Linked DNA regions of Oryzias latipes. The protein of the gene in region 1 interacts with the protein of each later gene in a pairwise test. Links are inferred from orthologs where the notes say so. Each region holds a gene or a part of one and is shown in the gene's direction. Other genes may lie near its edges.

Region 1 (4,288 bases):
TCATCTTCATCTTTTTTGTGCAGTGCATTGGTGAAGATTTTCGTTCTAGATATAACAGAAGATATTAAGAATATAAGAAGATTTTAGGTCCAGATGCTGTGACTCAACTTCAAGAAATCTTATTGTGCACTGTTTTTGTTTCATTGTCTCCATTTGAGAAATAGAGAAAACAGAGACACCAGAAATGCCTTGCTGATGCCACAGGTCAGAGAAGAACACCTGGTTTAAGGTTTTGTCGTCAGTATTAGTGTTAGTAAAGGGCAGTGTGTCACAATCATTTAAATGAGAACAGTTCAGGTTTTTTTCTGTTTGAAACATGTAAGATTTTTGCAAAGAAAAATCACCTTTTTATTTTGACATAAAATAGAAATGGTTTCATAGCAACATCTCCCCTGGCTTAAAGCCACATTTGTTAACTAGTAACAATGGCAGTTCACTTTGGTTGCTGGAGAGTGAGTTGGCAGTGATCTCTAATCACTGCCAACCCTGAGAAAACTCCAGACGGATACGGTTCCAACGAGACTTGATGTTGTGGAAAAATTTTACCAAACCTTTTTTTGTGCATGTTGCAGCTTTCACTAGTTAAATATATTATTTCAGCGGGAAAAAAAACAGCATCTGTGTAACCTTATATGTGTTTTACATTTTTACCAAGACTGTACAGTTCTCAAAGATGACAGCAATCATTTAGCGACAAATATTTATTTACATTTGTGTGAACAAAATTTGATCAGAATGTGTGTCAAGAGTTGAAGGACTTTGTCTGTTGCTCTGGGATGCCAGTGAATATTCGGAGGCCCTGCATTCCTTGGATCTCATCTTTGAGTGCCTCATATATCCTTAACTATAAGCGATGCTGCTGATGGAAACATCTCCCTCAGTTTGTTGGCGATGCGGACCTCTCCGTCTGTTTGCGTTGACAGACATCTTTGCAGCTGCCTGTAGAGAGAAGCTTGGTTATGGCGAAGAGCATGGAGAGTAGAGACCGTCCTGCTGACACAGAACTGTGCAAGCATGACTAGAATGGAGTTACTCTTTAGTTAAGCCACACAAAAAACAGCTTCAGTCACTAACAAGTCATGTCCTTAGATCATTGACCTGATAAAAAATAATTCCCCTTCCATTTCAAATGGGTCAAACTGTGACAACTCCAACATGTTCTTTTGTTTTTGGATCATTGGTTACAACTGTTTTTTTTGAGTAACCTATTGCTGGAGGGTTCAGAGGACAATGACCCACATTGTCTCCTGAAACCAACCCTTCCAAGGTGGTGGCGCTCCAACTTCACCCCCCGCTCCCAACACTCAAGCTTGGTCAGGGTTGTACCCCTGTGATGGTTAGGAATGCTCTCAGTAATCTCACACTCAGGAATGCACTTCACAGTGTGCACATGCAGGGCAGGCCTCAGGACACAGTCACCCCTACAGGCTGTGAGGGCGTGGCCCATCTTCAGCTGGTGACAGAACCTTTGAGGACAGGAGCAGCTCGAGGCGCTGCAGCTGGATGTTTGAGCCGCTTTCACGTCATCACTGCTTCTCCAGACCCGGATCTTCTCTATCAGGGCTGGATTCACATCTCAGTCAGCTCAGCACTCACACAAACTGACATTTGCACACTTTCAGGTCTTTCTTTGTGCTGTGAGCTGCATTGTGCTGCATCACTGGTGAGACCACGTGCTCTGTGTTTATCACCAGGAAGGGGAGGGAGGCAGAGCCAGATTTCTCGTTTTGTCCATTGCCACCACAGACACACACACACTCTCATCCAGGCAGCCACAGGGAGGAGGCAAACCAGGCTGAGCCGCGCCGTGTCAAACTCTGAACAACACAACAGGTAGAGTGGAGCTTTTTACATCCGTAGCACGATGAGTGTCAGAGCTTCAGTCTGAACGACGGCCTTGCATGAGCTTTATGTTTTAATCTCATCCTCTACGTGTCTGAGACGGCAGACGGCAGCCTCCTGTGTGCTGTAGCCTTATTGTGTTGGAGGTGGGGGAGGAGGATGGTAAAATAAAGGCTGCTCTTTTGGCTGCGAATGCTGCTGAGCCTTTGTAGTCTAACGCCCTGCTGCCAGTTTCTGCCTGTGCACGGAGGAATGTTGACAGGCTGAAATTATTGACCTTGGACGACACAAAGCGCGCCATTTGCCCAAGGTAAGGATTCTCAGCCTGATGACATTTCTGTGGTGTTGAAGGGCTTTCATTTCTCTGATGTGGAGACATGAACGTTTGTCTGAATCCAGTGGAAGCAGCTGAGTGATGAATCCACAGTGGGGGGAAGTCATGGAAGTTGATTAAATTTGGTGCAGGATCGTGCTGATGGAGCATTTGCCAAATCCTCTTTTCAACACCTGAACGACAGAAATGCATTTCCTTAACCAACCAACTAGCTTGGTTTAGTCTGGCCCAAACCATCTACAGAAGACAGGGACATTTTGCTGTAAATAAATTAGTTAAGAATATACCACCCTCACAGTTTCCTCACAGCAACTCCTATTGCAGTTTACTTGAGGGAATAGAACCAGCAGCTTCTTTTCCTTCCATCACAAGTGCTTCTCTGTACTGGAGAACCAGCTGTTGAAGTTGAGTGTGTGTGTGTTCCTTTTTTTTGGGGGGGGTGGGGGGGGGGGGATGGGTCTGTCTCAGAGTTTATTATTAGACCCTTAAAGATCAAATCACTCCTGCTTTGTTTGTCTGAGCCGCTCAAAAATGCATTTAGTCTTTTTGTAAACAGCAGTTTAGCAGACATGCCAGCGCCCCCTAGAGGTGAGAAAAATAACAAATCGCAACTTCATGTTTGACTTTGAGGAACGTTCAAACTTTCCTTCAATTTCTTTTAACTTTGAACACTAAAATAGCTGCTGTTTTGTTCTCCGTGTGTCTACACCTGGTATCACATCAGAACTGCCCCGCTTGAAACTTGATTTCTTTTTATTGACCCAAGACTCAGACTTGGACTCGCCTCTGAGACGTGACCAGAACTTGGAGAAGATGACTTGTTGTTTTGGTTGCACACAAGCTAACCTGGTCTGTTTGGTCCTGTTTTTTTTCCAATCTGAAGAAACTAGAAATAGTTTCGATGTCAAATCCTGAAAAAACAACAGTCCACGCTCATGTATCCAATGTGGTGACTGTAGCTCACTAGGTCGAGCAACTTCACTGCCAGTTAGAAACTAAAATCCCAGGTTAGACAGTCAGTGTCGTTATCTTATACATGCTACTTTAAAGAGCCACTCCAATGAAAAATGTGTTTTTGATGTTTTTAACATGTTTTTGTGGCATTTATCTAATGATGGAGGGCATGTATAAGACATTTTGCTTAAAATTGCATTTCTGAGTCTTTCTTTATTAAGTATTTTTGTGAATCAGGAGCAGACGAAAAATACCATTTGAAAAAGCTTGCAGGTACGATGTAGGAGTTACTACTGCAAACCCCAAGTTCCCTGCTCCGCTCCATTCAGATACATCCACCTGCAGACAAATATGTATGTCTTATTTTACCTCGTCTGGGCTGGCTTCTGGATCAAAAATATAGGGCTGGATAGCTCCAATTTTGATCGCCGTTTTAGTTGTACAGGTAATGTTAGATTGGGGCTGTGAGCTGGTGGAAGAGAGAGTAAACAGGTAGCCATCTGCAACGAGGAGAGGAATAGGGGTCAGGGTTGCTCCATGCCATTGGTCGCGCCCTCAACTCATAAACAACTTTCTAAGTAACTACTGCCACTCTGCAGAAACTATGTCCTAGAAAATGACAATTTTTTTTGTTTTTAAATTTTGGCTAAAAACAGCATAATCTTAATTAAAAGACCACTGGGAGCATTTTAGGAGCTTTAGCTACGGTGTTGGCATTCTTTGAATTACCATAGCTCAAAACCATAACCATATAGGCAACATGTTCCGTTTACACATTTGTCAATGCAACATTTTGTAACGGTTTGCATTGGCTTAACACTTTGTAAAGTGTTGCACATTGGTACTAAGCTGCGTTCTCAGCTTTTAGAATCTGTTGGAATTATGTTATTTGCATAAATGGTTGAAGATTAACCGTAATTCGAAGAGCGCGTTATTTCCTGTCACCGGGTACAGTCCCAGTATTAAAAGGTTAAGTTCCAATACAGCAGAGGGTATGATGGGTATTTTGTAATGGGTAATAGCGGGCAAAGTGTGTTTGTTTCAGTGACGGTATCTGGAAGGCTCTGGGCATGATTATTACCCAACTGCCTAATTCACTATTGACTTCTTTACATAGAGGTGAGACTGAGCAACAGCAGCCAGAAGGATGTTACCCAA
Region 2 (3,500 bases), on another chromosome or scaffold:
TGTTAGACAGCAATCGTCAACCTTGGATGTTTTACAATCTTGTGCCACGTATTTGGACCTTCTCTGAATTTCTAGGAAAATATATTTCTTTATAACAGAAAGTTCCTGTCTTTAATTTTTAAGTAGTTCACAGAGCTTTTTATTATACAAATACAAAACACTTTGCGGTACATGTGTGCAAAAAGTATTTTATTAATAAAGTTTGATTTGAATCGATTTGTAAACTGGGTTTTTAAACAATAAAACAACATGTTTACTTTTTTAAGACAAATGGAAAATTAAGTAATGTGTGTTTCTGCTTCTGACCTGCAGTCTTCCTCAAAGAACAGTAATGCCTTAGTCACAACTACCCTTTAGGGTGGATGTGGGCGAAAAGTGGGGAAATTTGCACGGGCACACAGGGGTCCCGCAGGAAAAATTAAGATTGCAGTCCGTTTAATGAGCCTATAGAGAGAAAATGTTCATGTTGCTTTTCCCTATGGGCAGGCTGCGGGCAACAGGTTGTAGCAAACACTAAAACAACACATAAGGGTGAGTGCGGGAGAAATAGGTGAGATGCAGGAACGTTGAACAGATTTTTCCTATTTTAAGCCCCTCCTGAAATCTGTGCACTGCACTAAGGGCCCATTTATGATTAGTATTCGATACTGTATATTACTCATACAGTACACATTCCTTGAGCACACAGTGCGCGTTTTTTCTGCGCCCCGTGCTTTCAGTGAAATTAGGCAATCAGAGTGTAGTTTGTGTGGGTGCCCTACAGGCACTTTCGTGCAGAGGAGGGCTCGTGATATTTGATCCACGTTTGTATAGATACTTATAAATCAAAAAACGCTGTACGTCTAGTGTGAGTAAGGGGCCAATACCTCACTAATGACTAGAGTGCTTTGTTAGGGCACCGCATGACAGCATCACCCGTACACCATTGATTCATGGATAACTTACGTAATTCTTGCAAACACTTGACGATAGACTTACCAGATGGAAAATTCAATTTTTTTATTTTCCCTTAAGATGGCTGCAGGAGCCAAAAAGGAAAGTGTAAGACACGCCTGGTGTCCCTTTAAAACTGCCCCTGTCCATGACCCCCTGTGGGCTCGAACAACCCAAAACCCCACAGCCCCCGTACTAGTCAACCCCTTCACAGGTGCATGTAACTAAGGCATTACACCACAGCCCTTCTTCTAAAGAAGGAATTATAGCCGTGCAATGGAGTACATCAAATTTTGAGTTACTCCTTTACTCAACAGTGTCTCTTCCTGTTGTGGTGTATGGCTCCTATGTCATGGAATGGATCGCAGATAATTTACAACAAGGTAGTTCGTCCCATCTTCCTCCGCCATGAAGCAACGGTGGACAACATGGTCAGTGATCTCAGTGGGAAGGCCATGAGTGCCGCTGAAAACCTCACCAGGGAAGGTACGACCCGCCAGAGGCCTAAAAGCTCAAGACAAATTACCTTTCTGCTCAATAATATGTCTTTTCCCGCTTCCCTCTTCAGTTTTGTCCACTTTGGTGAAAAACAAAACCTTAGTGACGCCGATGGCCACAGTAGCTCAGTCAGACACCAGAAGTTTACCAAGTTCCTCTGCACAAACATCAGGGGCTAAAGTGGTGCCATTGCAACAGAGGGAGGAGGAACAAAGAGTGAGTATTCGTCCTCGACTCCTCCCTTTCCACCCTGACCTCCTAAAACCAGCTGCGTTCATTATTTTAATTGTAAGTGTCACTACATAACTAAAATCCCTTTAAAGAGCTACGAAAAGAATGCAAGACAACATCAAAAAGCCAAAATAAGTATATTTCTTTCATTTGAATCTAACTTAAAAGTTGTCTCAAAGCAACACAAAAAAATAAAAAGATAAAAAATACTGATCAATATAGTAATCATGACAGTAATAATCCAATTACGTACAGATGTTTGCATCAAAATCAGATTATCTTAATTGTCTGCTAATGGACCATATACAGGTTTTACTAGAACAGCCATAGATTGTGTAAGAGAACTGGACCGGTGGGTGTGACGTCATCCATAAACAACAGTTTAATTCTAGGTCCAACCAAATTAAGTCAATTCAGTCGCCATTTTCTTACAATACAGACGCCACCATGTTGGAACCAGATGATGTCAGTAAGCAGTAATTGGTCTGAGTCCAAATTTCTATGACAACAAATCTCACCAGTCAGGAATGGACTTATTGGAAGTCCACACCCCTACCACATGAAAGTGGACTTGCCAGAATCTGTCAATCAAATATTTTAACGTTGGACATGGGGACCAGCTGGCACTACCTACTTTTGTGATTTCCAAAGGTAGCAGAGCAAGAATAGCTATTCCGACCATTATAGTGATTGAGTAATAAACAGCTGTTTATTTCTCTATAGAAGTCTATGAGATTTTGACTTCTTGGATCCAGTGGGAACTTCCTGTTTGGAACACCAGGGAGGAGGAGTCACTCAGTCCAGTTCTCATATACAGTTAATGATTACAATTTACAAGACTTTTAAAGTAATTAACCTAAGTTAACCCTACTGAGCTTCATAAAACACAAACAAATCAACAAATCAAAGGGATTTCCAGCTTCTGAAGATGTTCTCTGTTATTTTTTATACATGCAGTACGTTTTATATACAGTATGTTGTTTAGCATGTTACCTAAAACTGATGTATATCAATTTTATTATGGGCTGTTTAAACTGTGGCCAAGTTAAAGACTGTATGAGGTCTGTAAAACAGTTTCCAGGATGTGTTTTTGGAAAAAAGGACAATCTACTAACTTTACTGCCACCTGCTGCAGCCTTTCCTTGGCTAAAAAGTGTGGTAAGTCTTCCAGTTTTGTGTGGAAGAGTAGAGTTTTTTTTAACTGTTGTGAGCAGAGTTAGCATGAATCCCACACCCTCATAGATGTGTGACATGAACTGACCTGCCAAGCCTCCACAGCCCTCCCTGTCCTGTATTTTTACTGCCAGGTGACTTTCAGGTGATGGATTCTTCCAAGTAGTCCAACTTTCAGGTGCTTTTTCCCCATTTCATCTCCTCCCACTGTCAAAATCAAAACATGGAAACCAGCAGAGAGCCTTAAGGGACTCCTTCCTTAAGTAACCAGGAGGCATCCGGACCAGATGGCTGAGCCACCTCAGCTGGCTCCTCTCGATGTGAAGAGTAAAAGAACCCCCTTTATGAGAAATGTGTCACACAGATTGGGACATCACTGGGGACAAACTCTAGAGCCTAGCCTGGGGTCTGGACTCCTCCCTCCAACCCCGGTCGGGTCCAACCTGAAGAAACATTGTTGGATCGCTCTCCCGTGGGCCCTCCACCTGTAAGAGAGTTCTAAAGGGGCTGATGTAGTTTGGGTGATAGTTGAAGGTGGGTTCCTCGGCAGCCCAAACCCAAATGGAACTTAGCTTTTGGGACTTGAACCTCACTTCTTTGGAAGGGAATGAGCCTGAGCTTGTGCAGGAGGTCGAGAGGTACGGACTAGATATAGTTGGGCTCAC
Region 3 (3,059 bases), on another chromosome or scaffold:
GGGGTGTTTAACCTTTAACCCTTACAGAGCCACTAAGTCTCGCCTCACCCTTTAGAGAAGAAGGACACTCATTTGTGTTCTTGTTACCTTTTTGGGGGGGGGGGGGGGGGGGGCATAAGTAACATAAAACATGAATGTGAATGGAAGTCATGAACTACTGTTCACATGACATCCTTTCAAAATAAAAGCCACCCTGTTGATCATCTCTAAGCAGCCAAAGTAGTGGTGTGACGTCAGCAGGGATTGAAAACCGTTTAGTATTTATCGATTTATCACCTCTGCCACAAATGTCTAAAGCTGACTAATCACAATTATATCAAAGCTAATAAAGTGACCTGCATTTTATTTTTTTGAACCATAGGGAGCTTAACAAAATGAAAAAGTATAAGAAATCTGGTTTCTCATCGGCTGCGCCTTGATTGTGGTTGTGCTTATTGACCTCCAGCTGATTTTCTGTGGCTCAGAAATCTGTCTAATCTGTCGGTGAAGGAGTTAATAGTACTTTATTTCACTTTCTTTCAATTTGACTTACCTACTACTTTACAGTTAAAGATTTCATCAAAGTCCCTCCAGGATGAAAGTTCCAGAAGAAAGTAGAGTTTTCACCCGGGGGTGTGGCTCTCTGATATTGAAAACTCTATTCTGGAACTTTTTTCCTGGAGGGCCTTCGATGTAACGCTCAACGTTCTGTTCTTTCTGTTTGGATCTCACTCCTCTGCCTCTGCTCGTTTTCTGCCCCCCCCCCCCCTGCAGTTTCTGGTGGGCATCACGGTGACCATTCTGACCGACATCATCCACTTCGGAGTCTACTTTTCCCCCGGCCTCTTCGACTCCAGCGTGTTCCGCTTCAGTGCGGGGATGGCCATCCTCAACCTGCTGCTCAAACCCGTGTCCTGCTTCTTCGTGTACCAGATGTACCGCGAGCGGGGGGGCGAGTACAGCGTCAACTTTGGTGAGTCCCGTCGGCGCGGTAAACGCATCAGAGAGGGTTCTGGGAGGACGGGAGTCTTTCACCTCCAAACGGGGCAAATGTTCTTCCTGAAGGAGCAGCACAAACCTCCTCCTCCTCCTCCTCCTCCTCTCAGCAGCTCCTTCAACTCCAACAAAACTTCATTTTAGACAAAAGTTTCTGCAGAGCGGGAAGGATTCATTTGAAACGTGTCTACGAGTTTTGGGCGGAGTAAGCCTGCGCTAACTTCCCATCATCCCTTGGTTTACTCTCTCTCCCACTAACTTACAGCCTCCCCCAATCTAGCATTAGCTGAGTTTGTGTATCGCTGATTGAATTTTTTACGTCACAACTTTGGATTTTTTCATCTGCTCCTGATCCCCAGAAATACTCAGAAAAGCAAACTCAACCTTAATTGTCTTTATATTTGATCAGACAAACAAAAAAATGTTAAATACGGAGGTTTAATCTAATCGGACATGATCTGTTTTCAGGTTAGCACACAGTTTTGGAAACCATCCAAAAAACACAAGAATCAATTAGTTTTTTATTTTTATTGTGTTTATTTATTTGAATCGGGACACTGCATATTAATCAAAGATTCAGCATAAATATGCCAGAGTTTTAGCACAAGAGCTACATTTCATCCGTTGTCCTAAGGCAGAAAGGTTCAACAAATTCATCTACAACACATTACAAAAGCACAATATTAGTGATAAAGATATTTACTAAGGTTATTTACAATAAAACAAGAGTCTAAAAAAGCCAAGAAAGACGACAATAATTTGTCTGCAGGACTGGTTTGTTTTCAGCTGTTCTGATTTCTGCTGATCCAGGAAGTCTGATCATCTTAACTAATTATTTAAATTAACTTGAAGTAATCAGTCAAATCCTCCTGAACTTCTGCTGAACATTCAAGTTTCTTCTTTGTTTCTTTTTCAAGGTTTTCCTGTTTTTAGTCTGTGCCGGTCACAAAAAGTTCAAATCAACTCTGGTTTTAAAGTTCTGCTGCATTTTAGCTCCAACTTCAAAAATGAAGCCGGTTAAAAAGTGAAACTGTCCCGGGGGGGTCCGTTGAATCCCAGTTTTATCTGAGAACTTTTGAGGACCAGTTTCTGACATTCTAAAACCCTTCTAACATCACGGAAAATATTCCTTTCTTTTCTGCAATGATGTGAATCAAAAAGCCCCACATTTGAACTTTTTACAAATGACCAGAAAGGTTTTCCTTTAATACTTTTCCTCAGAAATCCTTTTTTTTATCCGTCGACTTTCTGATGCGTCTCCTCCTCATTCTCTCTATTTTTTTGTCCACGTTTTCCATACATCGTTTAACAAACACAACTTTTTATTCTACATTCACTCATTCTGTGAAAAAAATTAAATAAAAAGAGAATTTTCTGTTTTTAGTAACACAGAGAAAAATTAAAGTGAAATGAAAGGGATTCAAACGTTTAAAGCTTTCTAAAATGTGAAGCAAGAATATTTGTGCAAAGAAAAACTGGAGGAAGAGTCATCTGAATAAAAAGCCAACAAGAAGAAACCGAAACGATAGAAAACTAGATTTAAGGATTAAATTTACACCAGAGAAGAGAGGAAAATACTTGGAAATGAACATTGACTGTATCAGAGAACTGGACTGAGCGAGTGTGATGTCATCCACAGAAAATGTTTCTCTTCCGACTCCAACCAAATGAAGTCGAATCAGCCGCCATTGTTTTGTGATTGTGGTCGCCACCATGTTGGAGCCATACGTCATCAGTAAGCAGCCATTGGTCCGAGTCCTTGTTTCTATGGCAACCATTCTCACCAATCAGGAGTGAGCTTGTTGGAAGACCACACCCCTTCCACTGAAAGCAGAGTCACTCAGTCCAGTTCTCTTATAGAGTCAATGGACCGCTCTGGAATTGGAGCATGTGAGGTTTCACCTGTGCTCTCTGGTACGGACATCTTCTCAGAATATTATATATTGCTCAGTAATAAACAGACTGCAGACACTTTGTCACCTTTCTGGTAGCCATGAAGCCTGACATCCATGAAGAACGCGGGCAGGAGGCTCCGCCTTTGTTCATACAGACACGTAACGTTACGCAAACAAAACATGTAGTGA
Region 4 (3,966 bases), on another chromosome or scaffold:
CGCAGACATAGGCCTTTTGCTGTAAGTGACTTTAAAACTTCACTAATGTCATCAGAAATACTACAAAAAATGTATTTCTAGGCTATACTAACGTTTTATGTTTAAATAAATTATCCAAGAAGGCCTGAATAAATTAAACAGGTAGAATTCACGCATTAGCTAGCTAACTAACTAGCATGCTAATATAACAGCTACGTACCAATTTGTAGGTTTCGCTCGATTTTTCTTTCTTTTAAAAGAAAATACCGAACTTATATCAACTTAAACTTTGCGTCTGATACCTTACTCCACTGTCAAATTGGTCGAATTGATCCTCAAAACAACCGTATCCTTAGAACAAAAGCACTCTTAGCACTGTTAGCAACCAGATAGCTCTCAATTCAACCACGGCATAAGTGAGAGGAAGACAAAACTACGTCACACGTTCAACAGTCGTCCAAACCGTGATGCGTTCAAGTGCCGTAAGATAATAGTAGGAACATTGATGTTCATGAGAATTGCGTAGTTTAGTAATGCATTTATTAACTACATTTGCTTATCATTAATTTGTAATAAAGTGAACTGAGCCACAATACTAAACAAAATTCTAAAAGGTATTATTTTTTCCTGATATACTGAAGTAAAGGTTAAACCCATTAGTAATGAATTCATTTAAAAGTTTAGAAGCGTTTCATCAAACCATATTAAAATTGAAAAATAAAATGTGTAACTATCCATTTTTTTCTGAAATATTATTCAGCTAGTGATATTTTTAAAATTGTTTTACAAAATTGTATATTTTACTTTCATCTGTGAGCACTTTTCTGTTGTCTATTTTGAATTTGTTTCTAAAATATTCAGTACGTTAAAGACGATTTTGAATTTTTAACTCAAACCTTTAAAAGGAAACGTGAGTCACTTTTTTAAATTTCCTTATTTCTAACAAACGTGTTTTTTACTATTATTTTTATTTATTTATTTATTTATTTATTTATTTATTTATTTATTTATTTATTTATTTATTTATTTATTTATTGGACATAGCGAAGGGACATTTTTAAATGTATGGATGTGTTTTATTTAATTGCTTTTAAAAAGGACAATTGTCGGTGTGCAGAGAAGCATAGAACTTCATTTCCCAGAATGCAAGTGGTTAAAGTTGACGCAGGTTTTGAGATAAAAACATCCTGTCTTAGCTCGACCGTTAGAGACGCCGAAGCAGCAGGTGGAGTGCAGTCTAATCCCCAGCTCCAGTTTAGCTGTAGAACTTTAAGGGGTTTCACGCCACAAATCTAAAACACCGAAACCACCGTGATGGCTGAAGGCGACAACAAAAGTTCAAACGTAATAGTAAGTGCACAATTTCCCTCCTTTTCTTCATCTCGTGACGTATTTTGGTGGTTTTAGCCTAATGTGTTCAACGTTAGCATGACTCGCAGATGCTAATTTTACTAGCTTTTCGCCGCATAATATTTCCATTAATGTTCATTATTAACTTACAAACTGTTAATAATATTAACTTAAAGTTTTGTTTGTATATGTTGTTAAAATTAGTTGAGCTTTCCACCGCGACTCTTCTTTTTTAACGCTAGTAGCTAACGTTAGCTAGCTATCTAGCATGATTTTTAGCTGGGTTTAGCCTTCATCGATCGAAGATTTTGATTGTTGAATGTTAAAATTGCATAACATAAGCTTTAATTCTTAATAATATAAAACGATATATGATTCTTCTTTTGGTTTTACTAACAGAAATGTTGGCATGTACGTTGGTTATTTCTCAGAGACGCCCCAGTGGGTTTAATTAAAATACTCCCCGCATTATAATCGTTTTGCGGAACATGTCTCGTTGCGGATACTATAGTTTTAAAGCTCCATTATTGCCTAATTTAAGACTTCCGCTTAATTGAGCCACGTCATTTCCCCAACTTTTAGAATAAATTACTCAAACCAAACTGTTGGTTTTTGGGCTTTTGGCTGCAGTGCCAGACCCTCCTAAAAAGAGTTTAGGCCTCATTTCAGTCACAGTGCAGCATTAGACTAATGATTTAAGTGTCACCCTGTGGGTAATAATTTCCAGTGAGTCACAGTTTTGTTATCAGTGACTCTGACTGATAGCTTTTGTTTTAAGGAAGATGTTTTTAGAAAGGGAAAGGCTGACAAGAGACCAAACAAAGAAGGGAGTGTATAGACAAATATTCATTTGTCGTTTTAACTATTTATTCAGGAATGTTCCTGAAAGCTTTCTTCTGTTTTTGATTCATCTGCTGTCAAAATAGAGTAAAAGCAGGAATAAAAAAAAAAGTCATCAAAATAGAAACATTTTTTTTTACTGGGGACTCCAGACTGGTTGGTTGGTACCGGGTTTGCTGAAGCAGTGTTCTGTGTTTAGGCTCAGGAAACTGCACAGCTGGAGGAGCAGCTGCAGGCCTGGGGAGAGGTGATCCTGGCTGGGGATCGTGTTCTGCGATGGGAGAAGCCCTGGTTCCCTGGAGCTCTAGTGGGAGCTACCACCGTGATCTTCTTGTAAGTCGGGTTTACTCTATGCTGGGTTGGGTTTTAGAACATGCCATACCAGAATGGTTTCATCTGGGATTCTTTCATTTTTCTTTCGGATGTCTACTTTTAAAGATCGACGCTTGAATTGTTAATGAGGTGACCTGTAAGGACAAAAGGAGGATATATAGTAATGTCGCTACAGAGAATTTGCTCTGAAAAGTCCAATTTCCATGAAAACTTGAGAAACTCTTCATTTTTATGTTTCATTCTTAGAGTTGAACAACAATTGCTTCTTTCAGGCCTAATTTTGTTGCAACACAAGGTTTTTCTTTGCCTGAGGGAAAGTTTTCGGTTCTCTTTCACTCTGCCTTCAGTTTTTATCAGAGTGCAAATGCAGTTGTGTAAATGTTTTCAGAGTTGAGAGAAGTTGGTAAATGAAAATGTATGTAAGGATTTAAAACTTTTAAAGGTAGTCAGACTCATTGACCCACGATGAGGGAATCTCACCTTCTTGGGATCTTCAGTGCTGTTGCCCAGACTTGCGTAAACTCATGTCGGCACATGGAAAAACTGAGGTTTACGGCTATTACCATGTGTTCTCTCACATCATGCTGCATTAGACACTGAGTTGTTTGTATTTGCCAACGTCTCTCTTTTTAACTTCCCGTGTGCTGCGCTGCGCCTTTTCCTGTAGATTTAGAGCTTTTTGTATCTGAAGTCATATTCAGAAAAAAAAGCTGCAAACTATCAAACATTTCTAGTTGTATAAAATATCACAGCCTGAAGATGCAGACTAGCTTGTTGGGTTTAAAAAGCACTTTGTGTTTTGTTAAAATCACAGTTCAGCTGCTTTCTTAATGTGCTGCATTCCTGTTTAATTCCCCCAGTGTCCACGCCCTTCCTCCATCTGCAGCCCACAGTTGGATGATTGTTTATCAGCCTCGCAATACTTTTTCAGATGTCGTATTCATAACCGCACAGAAACCTCTGTGTGTTGTTGTTTTTTTTTTTCAAGTAGATGTTTGAATGTTTGCTTCCTGTTTCAGGCTGGTGTATTACCTGGACCCGTCAGTGCTGACTGGACTCTCCTGCACAGTCATGCTGCTCTGCTTGGCTGACTACTTGGTTCCCACCCTCGCCCCCCGAGTATTTGGCTCCAATAAGTGGTGAGAGGATCACCCAACCCTGTTTTGATTCTTAGTTTGGCATCAGAGCCGACTTGGTTGACAAAAAAGTCTGAATGGTTTTGTCTTCATGGTGGACTTCTCTTTGTCAGACGTGATGCCTAAACGGAATGTTCATTGAGCTTTGAAATGTCAGAATGAGCTGAGAAGCCAGTTCACTGAAAACCAGACACCATGACGGCAGAGCGACACGCCGCAGGTGGCCAAGGGCGCCCTTCATCCCTCTCTTGGTGTCTTAGGTTTCTGGATATTTAACCCCCCATCAGCTGTCCGTGACCCGCGCTGCTCTACTTAACACAAATAGCAG
Region 5 (4,227 bases), on another chromosome or scaffold:
AATGAGCTCGAGAAAATGACTCATATTTGATTTTGTTTTTTTAAAAAGAGGTTATTTAGTGTGCTAAAGGTAATATATGGATGTCGTTTACTCTGACAGACTTCAGAATTGCATGGTATAGGCCCTTTAATATTTTAAACTAAACAGTGAGTACATTTTCTTATAAATGAAATAAATGTAAAATTAATAGTGTTTGACGCCCTGCGACAGACTGGTGACCTGTCCAGGGTGTCCCCAGCCTTCGCCCACAAGTGGCCGGACACGCTCTGGCAGCCCCCTGACCCCGAAAAGGACAAAACGGCTTAGGAGATGAAAGAATGAACGACTGTTTGACCTCTGAATGTGTTATTTTTGAAAAACCATTGAGCCTTTTAAAGGTTTTATGAAGAGAATCCAAATCAAAACTAGTATAAAACAAGAAAAAAACTCATCACAAACAATGAAAAATAGACTTTGACTATACAAGGGAAAAGATTCAGTCCACTAAAAATGAACAGTGCCCTCTTGGAGGTTAAACCAACATTGGTTAACATAATCTAAACTCAAGCTAATCATTGACAGTGGTTTATCATAAAAACTGTGCTTTTTCACCATGACAGCCCAGTGGTTCAGTTTAAATCTGTCATTTATTTCACAGGACACCATACAAGTGTTATTTTAGTAACATTTGTGTTCCTTTAAAAGTCTTTGGTGAAATTACAATATAAAAGTAAACTTTTTTTTCAATGTTATCTAGGTCATTTCTATTTTTTTAAAGCAGGTTTTTTTTTAAATCATGTTTAGGTTTATAAAGATTTAGGTTTCCCAACACCGTCTGGTCAAGTTTTCCTCTTGTCTAACAAACCTGATTAAGCTCCTGAGTTTAATCATGACTTGAGAATGAGTCATTTATTTGAGTTGGGTGTGTTTGACAGAGAAAAGCAGTAAAACACTCTGGGCAGGGATGCTTAAGGAACAGGGTTGTGAAACACATAGTGATTCCTAATAAGAAAAAGGAAGAAAACTGCTATCCTTGATCGTTACAGGGCCAAAGGGCATTTGATAAAAGCATAATCATGCAAATTTCAGAGTTGGCAATATCAAACACTAATAATAAAAGTGTGGAAAAACTTGAAGAAGTGCCTCATATATGTTTTACTCGTGCCTGTTTGACACATGCGAGATTTTCTTTCAGAAATGTTAAATAAAATGTAGGTTATTCCAAATAATTGATTTTCCCAACACTTTTCCTGTAGAACATTGGACAAAATAAAGGGGCTTTTTCTACTTATTTTAGTCAAACTACTAATTTAGTTGACTACACAAGACTACAATGTAATAACAATACCAGAACACGTTTATAATATATTTATAATAAACTTTTTAAACCCGTCCTTGTTTTATAAAATGGATATTGTGATGTGGGATCTTCCGAGACGTCCCTGAACGCATCCCTCGTATCCAGGGAGTGGCCGCTGCACCTGTCCGACCTGTTCGAGGACACATGATTCCGCAGGAATTTCTGCCTCTGTGCCCGTCCTTTGTTTAACGGGTAAATTCAGAGAGCTTAGTTATTCAGAGAGCAAGGAGATACAAGGAGAGGTGAAAAATGTCGGAGCCAGCCTCTAACCCCGCCGCCGCCACCGCTGCCCCGGTGGACCCCGCCGCCGCCACCTCCTTCCCGACGGCAACCATTTCTCTACCTCTGGGTTTGGGTGTGTTACGGACTTATTCTGGAGTTCTCATCTGCATAGAAATAGTGAGTGATTGTTTACAAGCGGTTGTTTTATTCTATATTTATTCACATCCTTATTACTAATATATAGTAAAATCTGTTAGGAATCAGTTTTTGTCTATAGTTTAGTTTGTTACTGTTGTTGCAAACTGTATCTGCTCATTCGACATCATGTCTCTTAGGGATGCGACTTTTGCACATTTGTAGTCGTGCGCTAAAGTCACGTCCTTTAATATAAAATTATAGAAGAAGACCACAAGTGAGTTTTGGTTTGTGTCTACATTATTGTGTCATAAACATACAAGGTGACCTCTGCACAGCACTTCCATGAAAGCTCTAATCTAATCTAACAGGTATTTTACTACTTATCTTGATGCCTTAGTTTGTGCAGAAAAGGAAGAGCATATGTTGGAAACATTCAAAGAATTAATTGCCGATCTGTGGCTATTAAGGTGTGAGCCTGGTTGATGTTAACCCTTGAACTTCCCACCCACTAAAATAATGCTTTTAGTTGGTTTTGTGAAAAAGAAAACTTACCTAATAAGGATGATCAGAGAAGAATGCATTATGAACTAACAATTTATGATACTTTGCTTCAAAAGAATCATAAAAAATTGGACATTTTAATCAAGGGCTAAGTAAATTCCTTAAAAAGATTGAGAGAGAAAACAAGCAGCAAAGATGCCAAAATGGCCAAAGTTTTTCAATTATTCACCAACTAAAATGCAATAACACTTACGTGGTATAATTAATTTGCCAAGATATTGAGTGCCTCGGGGTAACTGTTCAAATGATGCATGACAATTTTCACATAGATGCCATACACTTAAAACTTTCAGCTCATGTTAGTAAAGGGGAGCATTAAGCAGGAGAACAAATCCAACCATTGCAGAAAAATATTTTCATATTTACCTCTTGAACTGCATACATGCCTTGTCCTCAATTACAGGAAGAAAGTGTACTTTCAATCATTCATCTGCTAAACCTGGATTGTCCCTTTTGGGGTCATGGGGCTGCCGGAGCCTATCAAGGCCACTCGTGGGCAAAGGCAGGGGACATCCTGGACGCCAGTCTGTCACAGGACCACAATCACACACCCATGCACACCCACATTCACACCTAGGGACAATTTAGAGAAGGGCTGCACGATAAGAGGAAAACTTGCGATATTAGTGATCAATATTGCGATGACGATATAACTTGCAATAAATGAACAAATAGCAAAATCAACAAAAATATTTCCATTTCACTGAACAGTTTAATTTAAATAAGAGTCAAAATGCCTTTAATTATTCTCCAAATGACCCTCGTCTAATTAGGAGGGCAACATCTAACATAAAAGCTCCATCGGATTGGTTAGCAATGTGAAAGGCTCCATCTGATTGGTATCAAGGGATTTATTCAATTATGTATTCAATTCTTATGATTCAAGTGGCCATAAGATTTTTTTAGCACATTTAAGGTTTACCTTTTATTGCGATTTTAGCTGTCTTTTGTGATATGGATAATGCACAGCGATAATGCATCGCGATAACAATAAATTTGCGATTTATTGTGCAGGCCTAATTTAGAGTAACTAATTAACATGTGAAGCATGTTTCTGGAGGTGGGCGGAAGCTGGAGTCCCCAGAAAAAGCCCATGCAAACTCCACACAGAGAGGTACCCCATTGGTGTTCTGTTTCATGTCTATGGCGTTTCATGGCTGCCACTAATTTTATCAAGCGCAAAGATAAGGACTGACTGAGCGAAACTTATAACTGCGCAATTTCAACCGAGCGACCCCGCATTTTACAACTGCACAGTTGCAATCTTAACCGAGTGGCGATCCTGCATGCTCGCTGGGTTTGCGCGAAGTGTTCAGGGGGTGTTTTTGTCACTTGGGGGCAGTAACCTTTCTGGTTGATCTGATTGGCAGAAATCTGTATGTCAAATCCAGTGAGGCAGCGGGGCGGGAGTTTAAATTTTTTTAGAGGCTTTAATAGAAAATAACGGCGAACATATTGTGGATTGAAATGTTAACGAAAACACGAATTCAGTGATTTTACATGAGAAAAACTTACACAAAAAAAAAAACCCACTGCACTTTCTTAACTTAGCTTATGAGCTGAAGTAAAGCTTTTTCTTTTCCCTGAATGAAACCAATTAATGTGTGCGATTTTTTCATTCACGTTTTTATTTCACACACACACACATGTACAAGAGGTTGCAACACAGATTCACCATTTCTAATTGATTTGTTCATTTATATGTTTATAAAGAAAATTGATCAGTTTACAATTACAGTTTGAGTTTTATTAAAATACTGGCTCATTTAAGAGCATAGAGTGTTTTTAATCAATATAATCTATATGTTTTTGTCACTTGAGGCAGTAACCTCTCATTTTTTTGGCTTTGATAGCATAAAAGACGACGGATGTAACGTGGATTAAAATGTTTACGAACAACCCAAAACCAATTATGGGAATAAGTTTAAGTTCAGGTTTTTTTCGACTGGGACATAATGAAAGACCAA
Region 6 (4,228 bases), on another chromosome or scaffold:
TCCCATAGTAGTTAAGGCACTCTGCTTCATCCCAGTATAAGGAATTCTTCAGTGTGCATTCAGGATAATTCATTGAAGCCATGGTTTACCCCTTTTTTCCAAGTTTCCCACTCAAATAAAACTGTGGAGTTTAGGGGAAAAAGAAAACAAACACAAAAAAATTACTTTAACCATGTTTATGTTTGAAACTTGAAACCAAACAAATGGTATCAGGTTCCTTAATTAATAATTTCATTTAAAAAACGTAACAATTTGAAGGCCCCACTCCGATCATCTTTTAAAATATTTTCAAAGCGTTCCCCGTGTTGTTTTCTAGGAAGGTTTCTGCATAGCGGCAGGAGTTAATTAGAAATTAACCCCCCAGAGTCGTGGGCAGGACTGCTGGCATGGAGTTAGCCCCCCCTTACCACCATCCCTTTACACACTCGCTTACAGCCCCTCACAATCACAACTTCCACTGCACATTAGTGGTGCAACAAAAATTGTGAACAATATTGGAGCTATCCAACCGTACAGTTTTGAGCCAGATGGCAGCTCAGACGAGGAAAATGAAGCCCAAATGTGTCAGAATGAAGCATCAGAATGGAGCAGTGAGGGAGCTTGGTTGGTGTAGTAGCTTCTACGTCACACTTACACGTTTTTTTGCAACAGCTTTTTGCGTCTAATTCACATCAGTTTGCATAAAGAAATACTCAGAAATGCAATTCTAAGCTAAATTTTCATTTTCATCGGAGTGGGTATTTTAATTGTAGCTAGTAGTTGTCATGTTAAGTCTTTGTGTGTACATTGTGTGCCACAAACGAACACTCACTATTTAAGATTTTCTTCAAACTTGCAAGCAGCTACCACCTATAATGAAATGCATCGAGATGTGTTTAATTACTGTCATATATGCCTAGCTACAATTGCTAATGTTATCTTTACCGACTCGGTACCGTTCCTCTGAACAGAGTTATGTAATCAGTAGGGTGGGGGACAACACATACAAAACACACAGCTCTTCAATTGTTCGATTAAAAACACACACACAGGAGCTCGTTGGCAGTTATACTTCACGTAACACCACGCAAAATTAGCAGAAAAACAATTCTAGAGACAAATAAGACGGTCTATTGTTTGTTTCAACGACGGTCGGTGCGACGACATGATGATGAATCCCGCTGAACTTATTAGTCTAGCAGACGCTAAGGCGTCAACTAATACAGCGTAACGTTAAACACGCGCCTTTAAAACACTATTAGGTTACATTTTCCACAAAGAGAATATTCCTAGAGTGCATTAGACCTCACCTTTCAGCCGCGATAGCTTGCCTGACGCTGGATGATCTAGCAACTTCCACAATGCAACGTGCGACGTGACAGTGGCTAGACGTGAGTCGTAAATTGACCAATCACAGCTCTCGGGCTGGGTTTCATAACGTAAGGTCACGTTTTTGCCACACTTAACATACCGATTGTTCCCAGATTGTTCCTAAAAGAATCAAGGTAGTAATCTCTGTCACTTTGGCACTAAAAATGTTTTTTGATTTCTTGTCGACTTCAAAGTTAAATAGAGGAATGAATAAAATATTTTTATATGGTTAAATGTAAGGGAAAAAATAACATCATAGACTGGGGAGTTCTTTGGTGCAACCAGCAGGGGGCAGTGTGCGGCATTGGTGTTGTAGGAAGTTCTTTTCTTCTTCTTCTTCTTCTTCAGCCACATCACATCCGTGAGGACCAACAGCAACAAAACAACTTGGCTTTTTATCCATAACTTGGTCTGTAAGTATCTACATCGTCTGTAGGTTTGACATTTGACACATCACGAAGGTAAAATCTTATGTCTTTTCATTTCAATGTTTATAAATTACTGTGATCTTCGTACAATCAGTTTGATTTAACATGAGACACGAAGAAGTAGGTAGTATTCATTTTATAAAAGTTATTCCACTTATAATTCGACACATATGGACAAATTTGATCCTTAAAAGATTTTTACTTGCTCAAAATGTCGTTTTCTGGCTCAGTTCTCGGCCTTTGTCAGTGATGTGGCAGTGACCAAGCCCTGTTGACAAAAATTTTCCACTTACGAGATCCGCTCCTATGTTTCTGGCCAATCAGGAACAAGTTTGAATTAAAATCTAACCTCTATGCTCTTAAGAATAATGTGGAAACTAGTGATCATGTAGTTTTTCTTTTGTAGTTACTGCTGTTTCTCCATTTTAAACACATTTTATAAAATATATCAATTGTTATTTACCTTTAAAAAATAAAGTAAACAGGTTTTCCTTTCCTTTTTCCTTTTTTATTTATTTATTTAAGTTTGCTTTTGATGCACCTCGAGGAGTGTTACAAAAATCGTAAAGATTGTATGGTTGTATGGTGTATGGTGTTTTATTTCCCATTTAAACAGGGGAAAATAAAGAAGAATCCAGAAAAATTCTGACATGTTTTATAAAGGATACATATCGTTTGTACATTGAAAAATACGAGGAAAAATGCAAACTTCCAATAAGACAATCTTTTTTTTTCTTTTTTTTTTTTTTAAATTAACTTTAGAAGCAAAATGGAGAAACTAAACAAAACAAAATCTTTAAACCACTTGACAAACCCAATGATGTAACAACATCCCACATGCAAACTTGGCATGCACTTATCTGCATGTTAACAGTAAACAATAGGCAAAAAAGGAAAAGAAAAGGAGTCAGATCTTTCCTGAGCTTCTATCTTCCGTTCATTTGTTTACTCAGTTACCCATTGTAGTATTTGGGTATATGTCTTCAGTCATATGTATATATTTTCTATTTTATGATTTTCTATAATTATTATTAATACTTAGGCTCTTCATTAAACAACCTCAAACTCAAAAACGTTAATATTCTTTTATCCCACTTCATCTCTCGTAAAAAACATCTATCTCCATATAAAGGAAGGCCATTTTTCCACACAGTTTTTGGACTATTTATCTTGTGCTGATCCGAAGAAGGGGGAAAAAAAAGTATGTGAAGGAAAAATCTTAAGACTATTTCTTTTATTTTATTTATTCTATTTTCTTTTATTTTCAGGAGAAGGTTTGCAGATGCCATCTGGAGTACCAAAGGGAGAGAACTGTCAAGTGGACATGGACAGCAAGGCTGGAGATCTGTTTACGGCTGAAGATGCTCACCCAACTGGCACGGGTGGAGCTGGAATCCTTTCAAAGTACGAGTCAGTTTTGTTTTTTTTAAAAAGGAGTTTAGTGACCCAAACAACTTTCTTCGGTGATGGACGTGGACATTAAACAGCGTTTGTAGAAAAACCACAGCAATGGTGCTAAGGCTCTGTGAGTTACTGTCTTTACACATCCACTTTTGGGGGTGGAGTTAGTCCTAAATCCTCATCCTCCTGTTCTGTAGACTGTGCCTCATTACTTAAAATTTTTTTTTTTTTAAAGTTTTGTTTTGTCAAAGTTTCTAAGAATTTCCTTAATCAAACTACAAAATACTTTTTTGTTTTGCTCATATTGTCAAAAGTTGTAATGCATTGACTTTTTCCTTGAGAGTTTGTACGCTTTATTACCATTTTACCTTTATTTTGTAGGCTCTGGCTCCCTAAAGGCTTCTCTGCCAGCATGGCCAAGGAGTGGATTGATAGGCGCCGATTGTCCATTCGACCGTGGGCCAGTTTTGTGGACCAACGCAAGTTTTCAAAACCACGAAACTTCGGAGATGCATGCCAGAGAGTGGTGAAAAATGTGGAAACTTACAACAGCAACTACACCTTCATCTTCCTGGGTCTCATCCTGTACTGCATGTAGGTGTAAACCTGAGTTTGCTTTGGCCTTACCTCAAAACATTATTGAAGTTTTATGAAATAACAGATGCAACACTGACTGCACACACTAAGGCCACCGGGATTGAGAAAAGAAAAAGAAAAGATTGAATCAGTAACAGCATTATGAGCCTTTTTTTTTTTCTTTTCTTGTCAGTATAAGCTCCCCTATGCTACTGATTGCATTGGCTGTGTTTCTTGGTGCCTTCTACATAATCCACCTGAAGTCTCAAGAGTCCAGACTGGTTGTTCTTGGTAAGTAAAACAGAAAAACTGCTGTCCTTAACTTGCCTGAAAGTGAAAAAACTTTTTTTCAGAGTTTTTTTCAGCCATGCATGAAATGGGAGAATCTTATAGAAAGCCACAGAGAATTATGTTTTCATGTGTTTGCCAACTTTGTTTTTTTCCAGGCAAACAGCTTAATGTCCCTCATCAGA

The links.
Region 2: the proteins of ndrg4 (region 1) and receptor expression-enhancing protein 6 interact in binary tests that used the Homo sapiens proteins (3 or more experiments, as listed by UniProt). The two-hybrid records come from large-scale screens. The link is inferred for Oryzias latipes from reciprocal best matches to the Homo sapiens genes NDRG4 and REEP6.
Region 3: the proteins of ndrg4 (region 1) and agtrap interact in binary tests that used the Homo sapiens proteins (3 or more experiments, as listed by UniProt). The two-hybrid records come from large-scale screens. The link is inferred for Oryzias latipes from reciprocal best matches to the Homo sapiens genes NDRG4 and AGTRAP.
Region 4: the proteins of ndrg4 (region 1) and arl6ip1 interact in binary tests that used the Homo sapiens proteins (3 or more experiments, as listed by UniProt). The two-hybrid records come from large-scale screens. The link is inferred for Oryzias latipes from reciprocal best matches to the Homo sapiens genes NDRG4 and ARL6IP1.
Region 5: the proteins of ndrg4 (region 1) and mal2 interact in binary tests that used the Homo sapiens proteins (3 or more experiments, as listed by UniProt). The two-hybrid records come from large-scale screens. The link is inferred for Oryzias latipes from reciprocal best matches to the Homo sapiens genes NDRG4 and MAL2.
Region 6: the proteins of ndrg4 (region 1) and rabac1 interact in binary tests that used the Homo sapiens proteins (3 or more experiments, as listed by UniProt). The two-hybrid records come from large-scale screens. The link is inferred for Oryzias latipes from reciprocal best matches to the Homo sapiens genes NDRG4 and RABAC1.

The regions. Positions count from the first base shown.
Region 1 is NC_019864.2:4,034,588-4,038,875, forward strand, and holds the start of ndrg4 (protein NDRG4), read left to right. Parts: upstream 1-1,488; 5' UTR 1,489-1,503; coding exon 1,504-1,579; exon of another isoform or gene 1,580-1,694; coding exon 1,695-1,833; intron 1,834-1,845; exon of another isoform or gene 1,846-2,152; intron 2,153-4,288. UniProt on the Homo sapiens protein: Contributes to the maintenance of intracerebral BDNF levels within the normal range, which is necessary for the preservation of spatial learning and the resistance to neuronal cell death caused by ischemic stress.
Region 2 is NC_019862.2:22,302,291-22,305,790, forward strand, and holds part of receptor expression-enhancing protein 6, read left to right. Parts: intron 1-1,250; coding exon 1,251-1,419; intron 1,420-1,501; coding exon 1,502-1,647; intron 1,648-2,797; coding exon of another isoform or gene 2,798-2,812; exon of another isoform or gene 2,813-2,820; intron 2,821-3,500. UniProt on the Homo sapiens protein: Required for correct function and survival of retinal photoreceptors. Required for retinal development.
Region 3 is NC_019863.2:32,259,499-32,262,557, reverse strand, and holds part of agtrap (type-1 angiotensin II receptor-associated protein), read left to right. Parts: intron 1-753; coding exon 754-952; intron 953-3,059. UniProt on the Homo sapiens protein: Appears to be a negative regulator of type-1 angiotensin II receptor-mediated signaling by regulating receptor internalization as well as mechanism of receptor desensitization such as phosphorylation.
Region 4 is NC_019866.2:2,356,161-2,360,126, reverse strand, and holds the start of arl6ip1 (ADP-ribosylation factor-like protein 6-interacting protein 1), read left to right. Parts: upstream 1-1,166; 5' UTR 1,167-1,293; coding exon 1,294-1,329; intron 1,330-2,368; coding exon 2,369-2,502; intron 2,503-3,521; coding exon 3,522-3,641; intron 3,642-3,966. UniProt on the Homo sapiens protein: Positively regulates SLC1A1/EAAC1-mediated glutamate transport by increasing its affinity for glutamate in a PKC activity-dependent manner.
Region 5 is NC_019874.2:10,913,543-10,917,769, forward strand, and holds the start of mal2 (protein MAL2), read left to right. Parts: upstream 1-1,427; 5' UTR 1,428-1,588; coding exon 1,589-1,738; intron 1,739-4,227. UniProt on the Homo sapiens protein: Member of the machinery of polarized transport. Required for the indirect transcytotic route at the step of the egress of the transcytosing cargo from perinuclear endosomes in order for it to travel to the apical surface via a raft-dependent pathway.
Region 6 is NC_019874.2:20,935,573-20,939,800, reverse strand, and holds the start of rabac1 (prenylated Rab acceptor protein 1), read left to right. Parts: upstream 1-1,428; 5' UTR 1,429-1,484; intron 1,485-1,698; 5' UTR 1,699-1,763; exon of another isoform or gene 1,764-1,811; intron 1,812-3,046; 5' UTR 3,047-3,060; coding exon 3,061-3,182; intron 3,183-3,560; coding exon 3,561-3,773; intron 3,774-3,948; coding exon 3,949-4,046; intron 4,047-4,201; coding exon 4,202-4,228. Other genes in the region: dedd2 (DNA-binding death effector domain-containing protein 2), read right to left, coding at 1-82. UniProt on the Homo sapiens protein: General Rab protein regulator required for vesicle formation from the Golgi complex. May control vesicle docking and fusion by mediating the action of Rab GTPases to the SNARE complexes.